2 linked regions of the Alligator mississippiensis genome follow. The protein of the gene in region 2 interacts with the protein of the main gene of each other region in a pairwise test. Links are inferred from orthologs where the notes say so. Each region holds a gene or a part of one and is shown on either strand. Other genes may lie near its edges.

Evidence for each region. The genes of interacting proteins can lie anywhere in the genome.
Region 1: the proteins of CHAF1A (region 2) and MBD1 interact in binary tests that used the Homo sapiens proteins (3 or more experiments, as listed by UniProt). The link is inferred for Alligator mississippiensis from reciprocal best matches to the Homo sapiens genes CHAF1A and MBD1.

The regions. Positions count from the first base shown.
Region 1 is NC_081831.1:27,516,285-27,523,274, forward strand, and holds the start of MBD1 (methyl-CpG-binding domain protein 1), read right to left. Parts: upstream 3,071-6,990; 5' UTR 2,701-3,070; coding exon 2,653-2,700; intron 1-2,652. Other genes in the region: CXXC1 (CXXC-type zinc finger protein 1), read right to left, coding at 4,654-4,800, 5,488-5,640, 6,089-6,185, 6,459-6,508. UniProt on the Homo sapiens protein: Transcriptional repressor that binds CpG islands in promoters where the DNA is methylated at position 5 of cytosine within CpG dinucleotides. Binding is abolished by the presence of 7-mG that is produced by DNA damage by methylmethanesulfonate (MMS).
Region 2 is NC_081839.1:5,305,077-5,312,629, forward strand, and holds the start of CHAF1A (chromatin assembly factor 1 subunit A), read right to left. Parts: upstream 3,068-7,553; 5' UTR 2,945-3,067; coding exon 2,938-2,944; intron 1,863-2,937; coding exon 1,812-1,862; intron 1,554-1,811; coding exon 721-1,553; intron 1-720. UniProt on the Homo sapiens protein: Acts as a component of the histone chaperone complex chromatin assembly factor 1 (CAF-1), which assembles histone octamers onto DNA during replication and repair.

The DNA.
Region 1 (6,990 bases), on a different chromosome or scaffold from region 2:
AGCTGGGCCCCTCCCAGCAGGGGGCTAAAGCTCCCCCTCCAAGCAGCCCAAAGCATAGCCAGACCCTGCCCCTCCAACCCACCCACACCCAGGCAAAACCAGGACTCCAAGGCTCAAGCCCCACCCCTTCAGCAGGGAAGGGAGATAAACAAGGCGGGTAGGGTCACGGGGAAGGATCTGTGGGGGGGGGGGAAATCTGCAGCACTCCCCCATGGAGCCACCCACATACATACCCCCATGCCAGCCCACAGCAGTGCCCCCAGGCCCCAGCCCTTATTCACTGGACAGAAGACAGCCCTAGACAGACTCAGTGGCAGGCACTTCCTGGCCCAGATCAGGGCTGAGCCCAACCCCCCACCACCACCACCACCACCACCACCACCACCACCACGGTGTCCTGCCCCCGAACTCTGCCCTGCCCCCAGGCCCCGAACTGCCACCCCCCTCCCATCCACACACATACCCCACCTAGCACCCCTGGCCCTTGGGCAGACCCCCGCAGCTGTCTGGCCTCAATTCTCCCTCCTCTGTACCTCCCAAACCTTGGTCCCACACCCCACCTTTGTTCCCTCCTTTCTCCCAGGGGTACCAAACACCCTCCAGGCTACCCACTCCCTTCCCTCTTCACCCCAAGGGCTACATGTCCTTGCTCCCACAACCCTCCTGGGATGCCAAACACACACCCATCCCCACCAGGCAACTGCCAGAAACCTACTGCATCTCAGCCTCCGTCCACCCTGACAAGTCTGCACCCCACCCCCCACAACTCCCCACCTCTCACAGCCCCAATTGCCCCCTTCCCCCAGCACAATAGCTCTCCCTACAATTCCCCATGTACCCCCTCCATCCCCCCAAAGGCTCTCCCATAACTACCCCCAGTCCTGTTCCTCACAGCACCTGCCACCACCCCTCCCCCTCACACCCCCCAGCCCTCCCAAACATGCACCCCCTCCCCTAAAAGCCCTCCCCCCCAACCTGCTCCTCACAGCCCCCACCCCCCACACACACACACACACACACACAATTGTGCTTCACATCACATCCCTCCTTCAGGTCCCTCCTCTCCTTCAGGGCTGCCAAATATGAAGCCCCTCCCCCAAGTCCCTCAACCCCTTCACCCTCGGCTGCCCCCCACATCAGACCCCCCACCCCAAGGGCTGTCAAACACATGCTCCTCCTCCAACAGTCCCCCAAACAACTGCCCGTCCTCACAAGGGCTGCTGAACCTGTCCTCCTGCCCCACAGAGCCCTTCCCCGTCAGCCCCAGCCCTCCTCTCCACAGCCCCCCCCTCAGCCTTTCCTGCCCCAAATAACTGCCCTCCAACAGCTCCTCAAGCGACTGTTCCTGCTCTTCCCTCACACACACACACAAAGAGTACCCCCCACAAACCCCCCAGTAAAACTGCACCACCACACCTCTCCCACCAGGGCAGCTAAACCCCCACACACACACCCCCCTCAGCTCCCCAGGGCTGTCAAACCTGCCCTCTCCCCTGGCACTGCCCCCCATTCCTCTCAGCCTCCTTACAACTGCCCCCAAACCTCTCCCCCACACATACACACACACACACAACTGCCCCTTCCCCCTCCGCTGCCCCCCCTCTGCTGCCAAACACACCCCTCCCCTCCAACCAGCCCCCATCTACTTCTCAAGGCCCCCCCCCTTTCCCAGGTTGCCAAACATGCTCCCGCTACCCAAAACAGCCACCCCCACAGCTGCTCCTTACAGCTCCCCTCCCTACACACCTGTCCCCAACCCTCCCCCACACACACACCTGCAGCCCCTCAACCCCCCCCCAGGGCTGCTGAACCTGCCCCCCCCCCAACAACCCTCCAACTACTCCTAACTGCCCCCACCCCTCCCCCCTCATACACCAAGCCCCCAAGGACCAGGAGTGCTAGGAGGTGTGTGTAGGGGGGCAGGTCAGGGCCTGGGGGAGGGGAAGAGTTTAGACACCCTCACACACAGAACTGCCTCTGCTCACTCACAACTTCCCCCAGGCTGCCAGATGTTCACTGCCCCCCCCTCCCCAAGCTTCTCCTTACAGCACCCCCACACAGCAGTCCTGTTTCCCCTCACACCCCCCACATCTGCTGAACCTGCCCCCCTCCCAACAGCCCCTACCTCACTCCTCCCTCAGACAGCTGCCCCCATCATGTCTCCTCCAGAACTGCCAAACACACCCCCAGAGCTGCTCCCCCAGCCCACCAGGGCTGCCAAACATGCGCACCTCCCCCCAAACAGGCCCCCAGCACTGCTCACCAGCCCCCCACTGCCTGCACAGCCCCTAACCTGTCCTCCTTCACAATAACCCTCTATGTACACCTCACAGGTACCCACAACACCTCTTCCCCTGCCCACCCACAGCCCCCAGGGTAGCCAAGCAATTCTTGCCTCCCCCAGTTGCCCATCACACCCCACTCCACAAACAGCGACCCAAGGGCTTCCCCTCCCAGCGCCCCCTCGACATCCGCCTCCTCCATCCCCCTCACAGCCCCCCCCCCCGCTCAATAAGCCTCTATCGACTCTCCACAGGCCCCCACGCACCACCCCGCCCCCCACCTCCTCACGGTTCACAGTTCCCCGCGGCCGCCAGGCGCACCCCAACCGTCCGCCACAACTGCGCCTCCATTGCCCTCACACCCGCTCACCGCTCTGGGGGCCGTCGGCCCGAGCGGCCCCCGCCGCCTCCGCGCCATGGCCGTGCCCACTGTGGTTGAGCCGGGCAGTTAACGGCCGCCGCGCGCGAGCGTTCCCCGGGGAGGGGAGGGGCGGGGCGGGGGGAAGGGAGGGTGCAGAGGCGGCTGCGGAGGCTCGCGCCGGAAGCGGAAGCGGCGCCCGCGCAAGACCGAGGAAGGGGAGCAAGTGGGAAGAGGCGGGTGCGGCCACGTGACCCGCGGAGGAGGAGCCGAGCAAGTGACGTAACGAGAGGCTCAGCGTGAACACCTGACCCGGGGATATGGGGCACGTGACCCTTGGGAGAGGTGGGAATGCACACGGGCCCCGACGGGAAAGGGGCAGGGCTTTCCACCCAGGCCACGCCCACAGCAAAGAGGCGGGCTAGTGGGCGGTAGCAGTGGGCAGGCACCACAGTGCCTTTATGGGAGCATGGGGAGGGCAACCTCCCTTTCCATGTCCCCCTGCCCCCGCCCTCACCAGTGTCCCCTACTCCCCAGTATAATCCCCATACATTCCAGTGCTCCCCTACACACACCCCTCTCCCCAGGGGGTCACTACCCCCAGACCCCAACACACAGACCCAAGGCAGCTCGTTAACTGGCCAACTTTATTAACTAGGGTCACCCCCTGCCTCTCCCCCCCCCCCAATGCCAGGAGGAGGACAGGAGGGCACTTAGAAACAGCACGGACCCAGAGATCCACTCCCCCCAAAGTGCAGGTGATGGGGGCATATACCTGCCCCTGTCCCCTGGGCTAGGAATCAGCCCCCTCATAACAGGGGGGAACAGGGGCCCAGCTCAGGCTCTTCCTATGGCAGAGACAAGGATAGGGCTGCAGTAGTCATTCATGCCTCTCCCCAGTTAGGCCAGGGGTAGGGATGGGGGAAATACCTTGCTCCCCCCTCAGACCCCACCACCACTTCCTTTTTTTTATTATTCAAAATTTGTAAGAAAGAGGAAGAGAAAAAAAAGTATAAAGAAAAACTGAGTTAAAAAAATAAAGGATCAGAGCTGTTCGAGCACCCGGCATCACCTCACAGGGACCCTGAGGGGAGAAAGAAAGAGGGGTGTCAGAGGGGGCTTGGGACTGGAATACAGCCAGCTCTGGGGTGGAAGAGCTAGGAAACAGCCAAGTATAATACTGCATGGGGAGAACCGAGATGCAGGCAGCTCTGGAGTGCAGATGGGAATGGATGGGTTTAATGCCCCAGATGGAGGGCTGAGACACCACTGGCTCTGGGGTAAAACAGCTGGGGACTGGCAGAGCATAACACTGCATGGAGATGGACAGGATGCAGTGAAGCTCTAGGGTGCAGCATCTGAGGAATGCCTAGACATAATGCTGCATAGCAAGGGCCTAGATGCAGCTAGCCCCGGGGTGCAGCAATTTGCAAACGGCTCAGTACAACACTACATAGCAAGAACTGAGATGCGGCCAGCTTTGGGGTGGAGCAGCTTGGGAACAGTGGAGTATAACACTGTATAGCAAAGCTTGAGACGTGGCTGACTCTGAGGTTAAGCAGCCAAGTGTAACAACACGTGTGGGAAGGAAAGATGCAACCAGCTCTGGGGTAGGACAGCTGAGCGTAACACCAAAAGGGAAAGGTAAGTCACAGCTGGCTCTGGCATAAAACAGCCAAGAATGGCCAGGTAGAATGCTGCATAACAAGGGCCAAGATGTAGCCAAGCTCTGGGGAGGAACTGCTGGGAAATGGATGAATATAATACTGCATAGCAAGAGCCGAGATGCTGCCAGCTCTGGGGTGGAATGGCTAATTATAACACTGCATACAAAGGCCCCAGATCTGGGTTGGCAGTGGTGCATGGGGGGGGGGGCAGGGGCCTGTGGGGAGTTGGCAGAGGCTTATTGGTGGAGGGTGGGAGTGGGCAGCCCTGGGTAGCTATGAGGGGAATAGAGAAGGCAAGTTTTCAGTGCCCCCCCTCCTGTGCCCAGCCCCCGCCCCAAGCTCACAGTCAGCGGCGGGCAGCACTGCGCAGGTCAGTGGTGAGCGGGTCATGCTGGATGGTCTGGTGCAGCATGAGTGCCAGCAGCCCTGCCCGGTTCGTCATGGCTGCCCGCACATTGCGCTCCTGCTCAAACAGCTCGTCCAACTTGTACCACTGTGAGGGGAGGAGGGAGGGTGAATGCCCATGATCCTGCTCTCCTGCCCCATGGGCTGTACCAAGTGTGTATAGTCTAGCCCCTACTGTGGGATGTACCACCTAGTCGACATCCAGGCCCTGCCCCCCCAGCCAAGACAAAGTGGCTACACCAGACCTGACCCTCTGCGGGCTGTACCACATGCATGCCTCATATGGGCCATACCACATGGCCCTGGCCATACCAAGCAACCATAATCTGGGCCACACCCTCTGTTGGGCCCATAAACCAAAGCCCCATCCCCCCAGGCAGGCTGTACCCTGAGCACCCCCACCATGGGCAGTACCATATGGCTGTACCACATGACCATCCTCAGCCCCTGCCCTTAGGTGTGAACCATACCCCAAAGCTGTGCCCTTGGCCCCACCCTCCATGTAGGCCATACCATACAGACATCCCCACACCAGCCCTGCTAACCCTGTGGGCTGCACCACAAAGCCATATCCCAGGCCCACCCCATGGACTGTATCATAGATCTATCCCCCAGACCTCCCCGACCCCATGTGGGCTCTACCAAGTAGCCAATCCAAGGCCCCACCCCTCCATTTGGGCTATACCACCTGAATCTCAGGCCAGGCCCCGCAAGTGGTCCATACCACACAGTCACTCCCAAAGCCCTGCCCCTCCCCCACTCCAGTGGGCCGTACCACACGGACACGCTCCAGGTCAACTTCTGCGCGCCGCAGCTTCTCCCAGCAGTAGTGCCGGTTGCACTTGCGCTTGGGCACACGGCAGAAATCGCCTGTCAGCTCGAAGACGTCCCGCACCAGTGGGCACCCGCACACCTCGTCCGCGGGCACCTGGGGGGAGCAGGAAGGGGGACAAAGGAGAGGGTCAGGGAACTGCTGGCCCCACCTACCACCTCCAGGCCCCACCAATGATCCCCATCCCTCCCTCCTTCCCAGCCCACCTCAGGCCCTGCCTACAGGTTTGCAACAGCCCCACTCCTCTATACCCAATCTATTAAGCCCCACCCACACCCTTGGCCCCACCCACAACCCCTCCAGTGTCACCCCCTCCCCCCCAACCACAACTATAGTCTCTACTGCTCACCTTTCAACCAGTGCTGCACCCCACACAGGCCTCTACTGCCCCCAGCCCCATGGTGGCCACCTCACTCCTGACCCCCCCTCCAAGGCTCTGCAGTGGCCCTCACTACCAACCCACAGCACCCCCCACACACACACACTCACCACCCCCCCCCCCATGGTGCCCCTCACTTTCAACCTTCAGCTCCCCATCCTCTACCTTGGGGTCACGGGAGTGCTCGGGACACAACACCTGCAGCCGCTTGCAGTACGTCTTGCTTTGGGGGTTGTAGACGTCACAGAACAGGCGGGTGGCCCTAGGGACATGGAGAGAGGGGACAGATGGATGAGGGGTTCCATGGGACCAGCAAGCTCCCAGCTCATACCTCCCAGCCCCTGTTCCCCTCCCAGAGAACCCCCAGGCATCTGAAAGGAAATGAGAAGCAGTAGAGAGGGGAACACTGTAATGTAGGTAGGAACCAAAGTTTGGGCTTGGTGGGATGGGGGCAGTTGGGGAAGACAAACAACCAGAATTCACATAGCCCTTGGGAAAAGAATATGCTGGACACACCCCAGTGGTCCCAACTCACCCCTCGATGCGGGTGGGGTACATGGATCCAAAGGACGTCTGGCTCTCATACTGCAGAGAAGGGTGAGCAAAGAGTGGGGGTTACAGTGGAAGGGACACCTTACAGGGGCCTTGCCAAGTGCCAAGATGCAACCAGCTCTGGGGTGTAGGACAGCTAGGAAACAGCTGAGCATAACACCGTGTAGGGAGGGCTAAGATGCAACTGACTCTGGGGTGGAATGGCTGAGGATAGGCCGAATGCAGCACTACACAGGGATGGCTAAAATTTGGCCATCTCTGGGACTGGATGGCTGGGGAATAGCTGAATATAACAATGCACTGGGAAGGCCAAGTGCCCAGCTCTGGGCTGGAACACTTGCGTATAACACTGCATGGGAAGGGCTGAGATGTGCCCAGCTCTGGGCTGGGATGGCTAGGGAACAGCAGAGTTTAACACTGAACTGGCAAGGCTGAGATGCAGCCAGCTCTGGGATGGAACATCCAGAGAACAGCTAAGAATAATAATACTGTATACAGAGGGCTGAGATGCAGCC
Region 2 (7,553 bases):
CAGCATAAGGGATTTTACAGCTACCTGGGTCATATATCAAAATAACACTTACAATTAGTGCGTGGTTGTCTATCCCTCAGACAGAATGCAGGGGAAAGATGCACCTTATAACACTAACATAAATCAGAGATACATAAGTTTCTGTAAGCCTGAGCTCACTTCGTCAGATTCTCTGAGGCTCAAGCAGTTTGCATATAGAAATTACTTTTGAACATATTTGTATGTACCTGTAGACAATAACATCCAATGAGTTCCCATTTTTAAGCTGAAAGTCTTACTGTTGTGAGTAAACTTGGAAATAATTCATACAATCTCCATACAGGAACATGAGATTCTACAGCATCACATAACACCTTACCACACTGTTCTCCCACACTCTATGTCCTAACGTAGTAAGTCATAAGGCAGGTATCTTATGATAGAGCTAATCTATGACAACAGGATGTACTGCTGGAAATATATTTATATTGTGCATATTAATGAGTACTTTTAAAAACAGAAAAAAGGCCAACTCTTCAGCTAAAAATTGCACTTAAAAAAAAAGAAGTCAAGGAGGCAATCATATCTTGGCTGCAAATTTCACCCATAAAAAGATTAATCGGTTTTATATCATTTCCTTTGCCAATATTTTTTAGAAACAAAGGTATTGAAAAAATTATTAGTTTTAGTTGCAGATGAGAGGTCTTGCTGGCTACACGCAAATAAAACAAAGAGACCAACCTTCCGAACAGGCGTTGAAGCTAAGGGACTAGTATCGCTCTTGTTCTCTAGGGCAGGATGAACCTCAGGTGAGCTGATAGAAGAGGGGGAGCTTAGTGAGGAAAGGGTAAGTACAGAGTTTCTTTCAGGAGAAGAAGATTCCATTGTTTCACTTTCTGACATCATACTTCCTTCTAAAGATGCAACTTGGGGTGACCTTGCAGTCATGATATCCTCTAGGACTACAACAGGCATCTTTCTCCCCAGTATGATCCCCTTGAGTTCACTCTCATTGACCCTCTTATTTTCTAAATCATTACACTGTGTATTTGATAATTCAGAACAAGATTTGGTTGCATCCGTCAAGTCTTCGTCCTTATTTGCTGTAGCTTCACATAGCGAGTTGGTGTCCATTGAAGCATCCACTCGGGTATTCTGAAGGGGTTTTAATGGACTTAACTGGTCTGTATCTTTTTCTAAGATCCCATTAGCTGTTTTTATAGATGAAGATGCTGCTAAATTTAATTTACCGTGGTCAATTTCATCACTTAGTCTGTGGTCAGTGTCCTCTGTCAAGTCAATTACAAGTACAGTTTCACTTGTGTTACTCTTTGTGCTTTTCTGTATAAAGTTATCTAATGGACCCTTTCCATTAACCAGTTTTGGAGCAAAATGCATTTCAGGATCCAACTGGCAGTCATTCTCCACATTGTCCATGGAAGTGTGGGACGTATCTAGAGAAGAGTCGTTACTTTGTCCAAAAACGTTTTGCGAGCTTTTAGTTTTCTTGACTTCCAAGTCGGCATCATACTTCTCCTTTGGTACTGGATTCAAACGCTTGAAAGGCAACCGAGCTGAAACAGTAAGATTTCACTATTTAAGTAAAGCCGTACAAAAATCAGCAGAGGGAAATTAGCCATTAAGTTACTTAATGAGTTCTTCAAAAAGCAAGAAAACCTAGTGCAGACTAGCAAAGAATATGTTATGCACCCAAGCATGATACATTTAGCAAACCTTACTACATCTGAGGCATTAAAAAAGCAAGTTGTTGGGTGACAGGTGGGAGGGGAGAGGGGAAAAAAAAAAAAATCACCCTTCTTTCATAAGCTTACCTTGCACTAGTTTTCTTGTGGGAACAACTGGCTTGTCTCTGCATTCCATAGCTGCAAGACAAAAGAGCAGATAAACAGCTGCCCGGTTATGTTTAACTCTATTTTCAACAGGCGTTCAGGACATAATTAATAAACTGATATTTAGTGCTGTCATCGCTGGGTACATTATGCAAAATGAGCATTTCCTACTAAACAGAGAAACAAACAAACAAACAAAAAAAGGATTTCCTTAGCCTAATCGCACTTTTATTAACGTAGAGACATAGTTAGCCGCGTTGGTCTGTAGTCAGACAGACGGCAGGGGAGAACTGCACCTTTCACGCTAACCAGGACAGAGATGCACGTAGCACATGCTTTCCTGGACTAAAGCATCCGACGAAGCGAGCTTCAGCAAACGAAAGCTTGTGCTAGACGCATCCATCCGTCCATCCATCCGCTCCGCTGAGTCGATACGGCGCAAGTCTTCTCTGCTCGCTGCTCTCGGCAATGGAGAGCGGGGAGGGACAACCAGCAGCACACGTGTGACAAGCGCCCCGGACCGGGGCGGCGACAGGCAGCCCAGGAGCAGCGAGAGGAGCCCCAGATCAGGCAGAGGAAGAACAGGAGCAGAGCAGCAGATCAACCAGGGGAGCCCGGGGCACAGCGCAGAGCAGATCAGGTAAGGAAGTAAAGGACACGGAAGAGGCGGCAGCAGCACGGCGGAGCAGAAAGCAGAGCAGCAGATCAGGTGGGGAAGCACAGGGCAGGGAGCAGAGCAGCAAATCAGGCAGGGGAGATGGGGGGGACACAGAGCAGATGAGATCATGGGGCAGGGAGCAGAAAGCTGAGCAGCAGAGCAGGCAGGGGAGCACAGGCCAGGGGGCAGAGCACGCAAGGGAGCAGAAAGCAGAGCAGCAGATCAGACAGGGGAGTAAGGGACGAGGAGCAAGCAGCAGCGCAATAGATCAGGCAGGGGAGCACGGGGCAGGGAGCAGAAAGCAGAGCGGGAGATGAGGACCGGGGCAGGGAGCAGGGAGGCAGCGGAGCGGCAAATCGGGCGCGGAGGAGGCTCCATCCCCCCTCCCCACCGGCTCCTTTACGCGCCGAGCGCGGAGGCCCCGTCCCAGCGCGGCGCCCCGGGCCGTACCTGCCATGCGGCGGAGCGGCCCCGCTCCCTCAGGCCCGACCCCCCCGCGGCCGCAGCGACCGGGGCGCGCCCGCCTCTCCCGCTCGTATTTGGCGGGAGCCTCGGCGGCCCCAGGCTCCACGCCGCCGATTGGCCCGGAGCCCCCACGTGACCCGGGATCCCGCGAAGCCTCGCGAGAGCAAAACAAACCCCACCCGCTCCTTTCAGCCCTACTTCCCGCCCCCACCCAGATCTCCCCGGCGTTCCTATTGGCTGGAGGCGAAGGCTGCTTCCTATTGGTGCAAGGGGCTGCCACCAGGACACGCGGCCGCTGTGATTGACTGTGGGGCAGCTGGAGGTGGGCTCGGGGCTCTCCTCGCTTGTGCAGTACCAGTGCGCGCAGGCGCCCTGGGATAACGGTCTGCCCTGCCCGAGGGAGGGGGTTTGCGCCCCACAGCTTGTAAAGGGTATTTTTTCCAATAATTTTTTGGAAATTTTTCATATTCCAGGTCAAATCAGCTCTAAATCCTCGCTGCACGGGGGTAGACACCCGGGCTTCTCCGCCCACGGGACCGCTGAAGGCACTGCATCCCCCGAGGGAGGGGGGCGAGGAACGCCGGGCGGAAGGGGCGGGGCCAACCCCGGAAGCCCAACCTCCTCGCCGGCTCCCGCTCATGGAGCCGGCAGCGCGAAATGGCGGCCAATGAAGGAGCGGCGCGCGGCCCTGGCCCCGGCCCCTCGGCTACGTCACCAGGCCCCGACGGGAGGGGGAAGGAGCGGCGCGGCCGCAGGGGCTCCTGGGAGATGTAGTCCCCGGGCGGCCCCGGCCTGAGCGGAACGGGGTCATACGGGAGCGCAGTGCTTTGCAACGGATAAACTGCTGTGTTGTTTGCCTACAGTCAGAAGCGGGGGTTTGAGTCCAGCAAGGAGACCTCCAGTCTAATGAGGGGTGCCTTGTGTCTAACAAGGGTGATTTGAGTCTAAAGAGGGGGCCTTGAGTCTAATGAGTAGCCTTTGATCTAATGATGGGTGTCTTGAGTCTAAAGAGGCAGCCTTTGAGTCTAACAAGGGTACCTTGAGTCTAATGGGGGGATTTGTGAGTCTAACAAGGGTGCATTTGTGTCTAATGAGGAGTGCCTTGAGTCTAATGAGTAGCTTTTGGTCTAATGAGGGGTGACTTGAGTCTAATAAGAGTGCCTTGAGTCTAATGTGGGGCATTTTGAGTCTAACAAGGGTGCCTTGAGTCTAACGAGGGGATATTTTAGTCTAACAAGGGGTGTCTTGAAACTAATGAGGGGGCCTTTGGATCTAATGAAGGAGCCTTTGAGTCCAATGAGGGGGCCTTGAGTCTAAAGAGGTGGCCTTGGAGTCTGAGGGATGCCTCGAGTCTAAGAAGCGGGGATTTGAGTCTAAGGAGGGGTGACTTGAGTCAAATGAGGGGGTATTTGAGTCAAATGGGGGGGCCTTTGAGACTAACAAGGGTCCTTTGGGTCTAATGAGGGGTGCCTTGACTCGAAAGAGGCAGCCTTTGAGTCTAAGGAGGGGTTCCTTGAGTCTAAAGAGGAGGCCTTCGAGTCTGAGGGATGCCTCGAGTCTAAGAAGGGGGAGTCTGAGTCTAAGGAGCAGTGACTTGAGTATAACAGTGGGTATTTGAGTCTAAGGAGGAGTGCCTTGGGTCTAAAAATGTTGAGAACCACTGCTGTAGCAGGTGCCACACATGATTATCCTACCAGGGCGGGGGTCTCTGCTCTCCCCCTCGTGGACTCGCGCACATGCTGCCTTCTGCTTCACGGCTGACATACACAAAGCTGGTGAGGGCTGGGAGGAGCTGAGGGTGCAGCTGCTTGTCGCACGGCTTCAGGAGCCGGTGTTGGTTCTTCTGTTGTGCTCATCACGGTCACATCTGAGTGCCCTCAGCAATACATCTGACCTCTCTCATGCGCTGCGTGTTCTCTCATTTCCCCCCCACGGAAGAAGTGTGTGCATTGGTGCATCTTATTTTGGCTGACTCTTAAGGACTCTGGTTTGGTTTTTGAGGGTCTTTTCCTACCTTCTTAAAAAATAAATAAATCAACATTGTTGCTCTGGGTTGATGTCAGAGAAGTCGAGGTCAAAAGATGAGCCTTGCACTTCGAGAAAAAGGAAGTGCAGGTCTTTGTTTCTGGGACTCTTCATTCCACAGTCTCGAAATAGGTTCAGTGTCCTGCACAAATGAGCTCTATCTTTCTTGCAAAGAGATCTTCCTTTGCCAGAGAAATGTAGCTCTCAGCTGTGTTGGTTTTTTTTTTTTCCCTCGGAGCACTGTGTGGTCTTTTAAACATCCTGAGGCCAGACCACAGGGTGCTTTGAAGATAAGGACAAGCCTTGAACTTGATTCAAAATTCTGAAGGAATTGACTGCGCAGAACGGAAGACACCCTGGATGTACTCGTAGTGGCCTGTGGTGCTGCAGAAGTGTGTTGCAGAATTTTCTATTCATTGGAGATTCCTAGCTACTGAAGTCTTTATGCCCAGGTATACTGCATCACTGTGGTCCACTGGAGGGGTGCTGACATCTGGTATAACTGAGGCCAGCTCATAATCTGCTAGGATGGGATGGAGTTGTCCAGAAACATTCACAGAGGTTTTTGAGAGCATAGCAATATCCAGTTGCTTTAATTTGGGTGTGTGTCTTCAACTAAATGAGACTACAGCACAACCATAAATGCTTCAACTTGCTTTCATCTGTCCACCAGTGTTACCTGTTGGACCTGGATTCAGTGGCACACTGCTCTTTACTCATGATCTGGTTTCAGTCAAGCACTTGGCCCTTGGCTATGGTGGCAATGATGTGCTCATATGTGATGAAGGTCAGGGAGAGCTACGTATCACCTGCATATTGCTGGAAGATGAGCCTGTATCGTCAGACCGGTTCACCTCATTGCTGCACGTGGCTGTTGAAAAGGACCAGAGTGAGAATTGAATCTTGTGTGACTCCAAAGTTAAGGTACCATTTCCTATCACTGTTCATTTAGTGTGCCCTTCCAAATGGCACAGAGGGGATGAGAAAGATGAGAATGGATGTCTGCCCTCTGTCCATTCACAGGAGATGAGCATCCATCACTGCCACTAAACTATTTTCAGTTTAAAATGATCAATGTCGGGTTTACAACAAACAAAAGGGAATGCTGATTTACACAGCACATAAATAACTTGTGGAACTCTTTGCCACAGGACCGTGTGAAGGCTAATAGTATAATCAAGGTCAGTTTTTATGGAGGATAGGTCCATGGAGCTATTAAATACAACAACCAGGGGTGTGAACTCAGGCTTAGGATGCATGACTTTGAGCATCTGGGAGAGTATGATTCTCCACACAACCCATTTCTTATACTCTCCCTCTGAAGCTCCTTGCTACTGCTGGAGACAGCACTGAGCAAGTTGGGTCTCATCCTGGCTGGCAGTTCTTGTATTCAGTTGTGTCCTAGCCTGAGTCTGGATAGTGGTTCCATTTAGATGAGCTTGCAGGGAGCCTTTGTCTCTACAATTTAGGAATGGGAGGTGCAACATTGAGTGGCAGCTAGTTAAATGAATACATCTAGCTGTGGGGAGGAGGAAGGAGGCTCTTCCAATGTCAGTTGGACTGTGGGTGCATGAAACAGGAATCTCTGAATGGTGTGTTGGCTCTATGGGGCACCCACTGTCCCTGATTCTTTCACAGGGCAGAATGGGCAGGGGTCAGAATGGGCCCAACTCCTTTAAAGGTGTCCAGAACTTTTTGGTGAGTGAATGTAGTGAACTCCAGGAGTGCAACTGGACTCTGAGCTGGTGGTAGAGATACAGAGCCATGCTGTTTGGCTTCTTAAAAGTATACGGTCTTTTCAGTGAAGTAGAACCATAAGCCTTTGCACCACATGGTGCTTAGTTCTGAATCAGGTTGCAAACAGTCAGGACAGATTAAATAGTTCACCCCCTAGCTTGCTTTCTTGTAGTAGAATCTGGCAGCTATGATGGAGGCTGATAGGAAAGTTCTCATGTGCTGTAAAACAGCCTTAGCAAAAGCCTTGAGGAAGTTTTTTCATTTTATCTTGTCTCTGAATTTGAGTTTCTGCCATTCTCTCTTTATCTGGCAGCGAATATCAGAAAGCTAAGGAAACTGAATGAGCACAAGCGGGAAGGGGCCTTTTTGAGGTCAGTATCTCAGTGGTCAAGGTTAGTGTATGATGATAATTCACTGAGTCCTCAATTCCTTAAATTTACATCATTGTAATAACAGAAATGCATGGAAAAAGTAACCTCCAAACACACAAAAAGGGGCTGTAAGACTCTTCTTCCAGGATCTGTCACAGGGGCATATTGCCGGGGGCAAAGGAGTTAAAATTTGGGGTGAAAGAGTACTTGTGTTTGTAACAGATAGTTTTGTGGCAGTGTTTCTATGCTGGGGTTGGACTTAGATGAGCCTTGAGGTCCTTGTCAGTTCTGTGATTCTAAGAGTCTATATTTTTTCAAGGTTGCAACATAGTCACACCAGAGAGAAAACTACATACAAAATGTTGCCATCACTTATCACTAGCTTCTTACTCAGCTGTAATTCAGGCATATTTCTGGCAACAGAGAACTTTTTTCTTCCAGTAACTTAGAATGTATTGTGAAACATGA